Linked DNA regions of Nothobranchius furzeri. The protein of the gene in region 1 purifies or fractionates together with the protein of each later gene. This does not show direct contact. Links are inferred from orthologs where the notes say so. Each region holds a gene or a part of one and is shown on either strand. Other genes may lie near its edges. The genes, in order: klhl6 and nudcd3.

Region 1 (4,280 bases):
CCTCCCCACCTATTCCACCTTCCTCAGGATCCACTGATTTCCCTCTTTCCTGTTCACTCTCTCTCTTTCTTAACATTTTTTTAATCACAATTGTCTATTTTTGCTCATTTTAAATATAGTTTTAAACATTTTCTAAATGCTTTTATATTTTTACATTTTTTGTTTTTGTGAAGTGCCTCGTGATTTTTATCTTGAGAGGCGTTATAGAAATGATACTTTCTTCTTCTTCTTCAAAGCTTTTTCTGTGTTTTAAAAAGAACTGAAAGATGGAATTCCTGTTCCTTTTCTTCAGATATCCTCGTCATCACCACTTTGTCAGCCATAAACCACGGATCATCTCACTGGACCACATCTCCCCGCTCAACCTGACCGACCCGCTCTCAGCTACTCACCCTGCACTCACCCTCGCTCATCTGGATTCCCCTCTCGAGCTCGACCCTCAACTCAGGCCTGACCACCCTCCTCGTCTTCCACTAATCCCCGATCAACCTCCACACTTCCACCTCACTCGGACCCCCGCCTTACCTTGACAGCGCTCCTTCAGTTACCCTTTTTCTAATAAATATTGTTTATTACTTTCATCCAGTCTCCACGTATGGTTCTGAATGTCCTGGGTCAGGAAACTAAACCAGAACATGACATGAAAAGCTCAACAAGTTACATTCAGCAGAGATTTACTTTTCTGTGAAGATGAAAAAGAAGCTGCATTATTAGGAGTTTACATTTATATCAGTAGATATTGAGTGGCTTTATTTAATTTTTGAGGAATTAGTTTTAACTGTTAAGTGAAAAAGAGGAAGAAAAATCGTGTTCAGACTCAATTTCATGACTGTAAACTATGCATGGAAAATGTAAATCGGCATCAATATCGGTATCGGTCGATGTTGGTCATTTTTTAACATATCGGTATTGGTCCAATAAATAAAACCTGGCTGATGTTAACAGATATTTTATCCATCTCATCTCCATTTGTTTGCCTGCTTCAGAGGGCGAGGGGGGTGATGTGTAATTGTTTAGTCATGTGAACAGTGAATGAAATCATCTCAGGACTGTAAATGTGTGTGGTGTGTGTGCATAACGTAAATTCAGCTTTAATAATTTTCATTTTATACAAAATCTGCTGATTTTAGAATCATTAATGTCAGTATCGGTTATCGGCCATAGCAGTGATCGTAATATCGGACATCGGTATCAAAATTTCATATCGTTGCATCACTACTGTAAACATTAAATGAACTTACAGACTGAGCTGTAAACAACATCCAGCTGTTATTTAAAGACAGATGTTTTTTTATTTTATCATTAAAAAGTGTTTTTAATTGATTCATAATGAAGAATATTTTCATGACCTCATCTAAATAGTTCATGCGCTGAGATTCACATTTGCTTTAAGGTGGTGTGTACATTTGTACTTTTGAAATCATGCTTGTTTTTATTACTTCTATTGGTCCTAAAACAAAAACCTTGTGTGTTACCTGAAAATCAGTTTCTAGTTTTAAACATCACTGATAAAATGTTCAAATTGACCAAGTTGTCAAATTTCAGAATATTTGATTGAATAAAGAAATGATTAGTTAGTTATTAGTGAGATCCTCGGGGCTTTCTTTTATATTAAAAAGGAGATGTGTGTTAGTTTTATATGCGTTGTCCCAATAATAAACAAATAGAGGAGTGTAGAAAACGCTAAAAAGTTTTTACTTCAGTTAGAAGTACTTTTGCATAATTTCTATTTACATATTTTAAGTCACATATTCAGTGAAGTTTATGATCCAACACTGACTCCTGAGAATTTAGCTTCATGACTTTCCCCAAAGGGATGTTGTCTGGATGCTGGTGTAAACCGAGATAAAAGGCTCTAAAATAAAACGCTGAGTTCCTTCTTGTTGATTAAGAAACAGCACAGCTGTTCATCTTCAGGATCCAACAAACAAACATCTCTGCAGAAACAGAAGCTCAAGCAGACGAACACCTGACTCGTCCGTTGTGTGTCACAGCTGTAAGTTAGGCCTCTATGGAAAACTGATCCTGAGTGTAAACAACTAGCCGTCTTTCACTTCCCTCTTAGAGTAATTTACTTCCACATCGCTGCATGTTTGTTCCTCTAAATAGATTAAAAATAAATGTGAAGTGAAAAAATATTAAATAAAAAAAGTTTAATTCAAATTCATGAGAAAAGTTTAACTTTTGTGATTTAGCTGCAGATGGATGATTATGATAAGTTTAATTCTATCAGTCTGACTGGAAATAACACAACTGTTTGCTAAAACAACGTTTTCAGTTTTCTGGATGCTAAACGAGAAAAGATTAGTGTGGAAAAAGTGCTCAGAGTAGACAGGAAACTCTGCAAAGTTCAGCAAAGTAAACGTGTGTGAGGTTTTCGGCTGTTTTACCTGAAACTGATTGGCGGCCTCGAGAATTTTCTGGACGTTTGAGTGTGTGAGGAGCGCTCGGCTGGTGTACGTGTACTCCAAGAGAGAGTGCATCGTCCCGCTGTCCAACCCTTTCATCTCCACACGCTTCTCATGGCTTTCCCTTAGGCCGCTGCAGAACATGGCCCTGTAAGGAAATGTATCATTAAAATATAAAAAGCAGATAAATTCCAACACAGTGGTAAAAAGTGGGAATGTTTACCTGAAATATTGACTGGCGGCAGCGAGAATGGCTCTGTGGCAGGGGAAGTCGTGTCCCTGAACACTCAGGGTCACGTCGGTCAGCTCTCCGTTCACTCTCATGGTCTCCATCCCTCTCTGCAGCTCCACTGGTAGACCGCCATCCTGCCAGCAAAGCTCGCCGGCGCCTGTTGCATTTTCCTTCTCCTCACTCAGACCGGACTCATCTCCGAGAGACGACAAGGGACAGTCTGTTGTCCTCTCCAGCGAGTCACTCATGTTTACAAAAACTAGTTCACAAGCTTAGTTTCCACTGGAGGAAAGCAGGCCGCTGCTTCAGACGCACCTGCAGCGGCACCGAGACAGAAAACAACTCTGTGGTTCACACTCACAGCAGATCTGAGGCTTTGAAATGAGGATTTGTTTTTTTCCCTCGTCATACTTCCTATTCCTGTTCTGAGGACTATGCTTAACTGAAGCAATGCTTGTTTCTTAACACTTCCTCCTCTTGTGCTGAGTGAATTTCCCCTAAGTTAACACTATTTTCCTCTTTTCTGAGAAACGCTGATGCCATGTCTCCTGCAGCAGACCTCAGCTAAGTGAGATAGCAGTAAACACAACCACTTGACAGCGTAACCCAGACGGAATGGATGCGTTTTATCTCGCGTTGTTAACAACCTCTTTTGTTCAAGTGTAACTTCACTATGTTCAAAGCTGAGAAGCAGGCTGACTCGCTGGAGGCAAACTGTTTACTCCTCTAGGTGATCTCCTGATGTTGAACATTTGAGCAAAAATCTCAGTTCTTTAAAGTTATTTTGACCTGTCGGTTCAGAGCTGGGCTGCCTGTGTCTGTGTGGAGCAGGTTTAAGGTTCAGGTTCTCTGAAATAGTGTCAGTTTGATGGATTTATCCATCAAAATGGTGACATTGTATCTAAAACTGTGTAGTCCATTGCACTTTGTTATGATATTTTCCACAAAACTGCTAAAATGTCATGGTAAGATGACTTTTTTGTGATTTTTATGTAAGATTATTTTAAATAAAAGGTGCAAAATAGAATAAAAATTTGTATTAGTATTTTAAGTCTTGGCTGTATTTTAAAGCTGCTATAGCAAATTTAGAAAACTAATAGGTTAAAATATTTTTCATGCCTTTTACCAACATCCTAACATAGTATAGCTATAAATATATTGTGGAGATTAAAAATAAAACAAAAAAAGAATAAAGTGGTTCTCTCTCTAAAAACCTCAATAACACGTTTCGAACCAAAAGCAACTATTGGACCATCCGGTTGTCAGTCTTGTAAAACTACCCTGGGTCCTCCATTCATCACACACTCACGTATTTAGCAGCAGAACACCACTGGCGTGAGAAGTTCTCTGCTCAGTCATATCAGAGAAGGAGAAACAGCCGGCTGCTACCACTTCAACTTTAGGACAAGCTACCAGAGTCCCAAAAAATAAAACACCATTTTAAGCCATAAACAACAAAAGAGGTTTGGACCAAGAAAACTGCGTCTGGTGTTTAGCACTGCGTCGTTTCGTCTGGCATCGTGGGTTTCTGGTTCTGGCAAAGGCGTTTCAGCGAAGATGTGTTCAAAGCCTAGCCAGATTTAAATTCTGCAATTATAATTTCAGTAGCTGCACAATTAAAACAAATAAAAAAGATCAAC
Region 2 (3,048 bases), on another chromosome or scaffold:
ACAGAATTTGAATGAAATGGAAGTAAACAATTGACTGGCAAACTGTGCTGGGTGTACCCCGCCTGCTTGCCCAGAGCCTCCTAAAGCTCAGGAGGTAGACTGGGTTGTCCAGTAATAAGAAGGTTGCAGGTTCAATCCCGGCTCCAACCAGAGAATTCTGCTGTTGTGTCCTTGGGCAAGACACTTAACCCACCTTGCCTGCAGGTGGTGGTCGGAGGGACCGGCAGTGGCGCCAGCATTCGGCAGGCCTCGTCTTTGTCAGTGCACCAAGGGCATCCATCCGTGGCAACATCATAGCTCATCACCACTAGCGTGTGAATGACTTATTGTATTGTAAAGCACCTTGGGGGGTTGTAGAATCCTAAGAAGGTGCTATACAAATACTGGCCATTTATCATAACTCTAGACTACCCAACATTAAGCCATGTTGTTCATTCCACATGATCCTTACAATAACCTCATTAGGTTAGAAAAACAAATTTGATTTTTACTGCCTTTAAAAAAACTCTGGGGCTATAAACATATGGAAGTTGCACGCACCTTTACTAAAGAAAAGTGTATGATCTATTGATTCGTGGCTTTATTAATCACTAACAAATTTAAACTCACTGGTCTTTAAAATGCCACCATCGCAGCACAGGATGACTATTTATTATTCTGTGGTTCATAAGATTAAAACATGTTAAAATCTGGGTTTTAGTATGATGTAGTGAGAGTGGATGTGACAGGATGAGTCTTTATTCTCGTCTCAGAAGGCATCACATCATGGTCAAACACTCGTTTTGATAGAGCAGGTTTTGTTCAGACTCTAGAAAACATGATACAAAGACTCTTCATCATCAGCATGACAATAAATCACTTTTATCGTCTAACAGAATCTCGTTTCCCCAGAGTCAAAAGTCCAGTAGTAAATTTCATCTAACTGCTTTTGTATCAGCATCAATAACAAAGTAAAAAAAGAGGTTTAAATAGTTGAACAGGGTTTGTGTCTAACATGAAATAAAAAGAAAATGTCATCCACACAAACAGCAGCTGAGACTGCTTCCCTCTGATGCACGGGTCCGTTTTCTCTGCAGCCACTGTTTACTTAGACTAACGTTCAGATGTAGTTTTGGTGAATTTCAGTAACTTTGGTTGTTTTTTTTCTATAAACTGGACAGAACTAAACATTTGAATGATCATGAACACAAATAAAGAACAAATCTAACTCCAAAACACAGCAGAGTGCTTAAATAAAGAGTAAACAGTGAAGAAGCACGTTGATTCGTTAAGAACACCAAATCTGTGTGTGACATCACGGAGCCTCCCTCCCAGACTTCCTAACCCACGAACCTAAAGTTGCACCGTCCCAGATAAACGTGGACTTTCCAGCGCCGTGTTCCAGAAATAACCTCGGGTCAGTTCCCCTCAGGCTGAATTTGAGCTGCGACTCAGAACTGCACCGCACTGGGCGGGATGTCAAACATGGACGGGTCAAACTCCTGCCCTTTGAAAGGAGAGCCTTCAGCATCCCAGCCCTTCCTCAGCATCTCATGCACTTTCTGTGAACAAACATGAAAACAACTGGGTGAAATATGCACCAAACATTACAAACAAGCGTGTTTCCCCAGACTAAAGCAGTCCTTCTTTAGGTTTGTTTAACATCACCTGGGTTATTTTACCTGAGTGTTGCATTTCCACAGTATATTTTATATCAAATTCGATGTTAAAGTGTTTGTTTGTTTGTTTTGTAATTTTCAATGACAAGTGACTGGTTTAAAGTGTGTCTCCAGAGGTCTGTGTGGCCAGCAGGGGGCGATAATGGCTACAGAAAACAAGACCACCAGAGTAGTGGCAGCAAACCATAAAGAGAAGTAGAAAGATAACAACATAAAAGATGCTTAACCAGATGAATGTGTGTGTTTACATGATGAACTGGTTCCTCACCATTTCATGACTCTGAGGTTTTCCCTGCAGCTTCTGGTGGTAGTCAAATGTGAGTCTGTCCAGAACGGCGTGCTCTTCCTCATCCACCGAAGCCATCGTGCGCTCCCGGTTAATCTGGTTGATGTCAATCTCCTTCTCTCCTTTCAGAACAGCGTTCCACCAAACCTCAGAGGTCTTGTTGAGTGACAGCTGCAAGTCAGAAGCATCATATCTGTGTTGTATTTATAAAATCTCTTTGTATTAATCTGAATGACAGCTAGGGGACTCACCAGCACACAGCTCCCTGGCTCCAGACTCCACAGAGAGTTTTCAGTGTTGATCTTGTGAGTGAATTCTCCCTCCATCAATGTCCTCTCCTCTGCCCCGTCCCTCACACACACTCTCACACTACCGCTCTGCAGACTCACACTGACCTGAGGAAGGAGAGAGACACACCTGCAGTCAGCAGACAGACAATGGGAGGAGCTCTGGAGGTGGAACACTCCACGCTCACCTGTTTGCCCTTCACTACCGCTTTGGGCACAAACACTCTGACCTCCACGTCCGTGTAGTCCTGAGACCAGCTGTAGTTTTCTCTCACCGCTCCATTGTAGCTGTCGGAGTCCAGCTGAGACGTCTTCTTACTCCTGAAACATAGTTGTACGTGCTAGGAATCAAAGCTGAAATAAACTTAAAACATTCTTCTTCTTTTTTTTTTTACTGCATCCGACACTTTTTTGCCTGTTTTATAACTACAAAGATGATTTTAACTATAGTTTATGCATTTTAAGTAAACTGTGTAAAACACACCGAAGAAAATACTTCATGAATCAATCAAAGTTCCAGATCATGCTGTTTTAAATTTCTGCGAGCAAAGATAGAAACAATAAATGATCCAATATTACTGTCATTAATCTTAAATAGGAGTTATTTTTGTCAGCCTGAATTTAGAAGGAGATGATCTTTTATATAGTGCTTCTCAAGATAAAAATACCAAGGCACCTCACAAAAACAAAAAATTGAAGTATAAAAATATTTAAAAAATTTTTTTAAATCTGTTTAAAAGGAGAAAAGAACAAAAAATGTTAGGAAAGAGAGAAATCAATGGATCCCGGGAAAGGCGGAATAAAGAACAGAACAAGG

Evidence for each region.
Region 2: the proteins of klhl6 (region 1) and nudcd3 purify together in Homo sapiens (affinity purification with mass spectrometry; 3 studies listed by BioGRID and IntAct, counting the BioPlex papers as one, with this or other methods). This does not show direct contact. The link is inferred for Nothobranchius furzeri from reciprocal best matches to the Homo sapiens genes KLHL6 and NUDCD3.

Annotation. Positions count from the first base shown.
Region 1 is NC_091754.1:23,547,235-23,551,514, forward strand, and holds the start of klhl6 (kelch-like protein 6), read right to left. Parts: upstream 3,062-4,280; 5' UTR 2,889-3,061; coding exon 2,632-2,888; intron 2,557-2,631; coding exon 2,391-2,556; intron 1-2,390. UniProt on the Homo sapiens protein: Involved in B-lymphocyte antigen receptor signaling and germinal center formation.
Region 2 is NC_091746.1:39,657,690-39,660,737, reverse strand, and holds the end of nudcd3 (nudC domain-containing protein 3), read right to left. Parts: intron 2,553-3,048; coding exon 2,420-2,552; intron 2,340-2,419; coding exon 2,196-2,339; intron 2,116-2,195; coding exon 1,927-2,115; intron 1,542-1,926; coding exon 1,431-1,541; 3' UTR 723-1,430; downstream 1-722.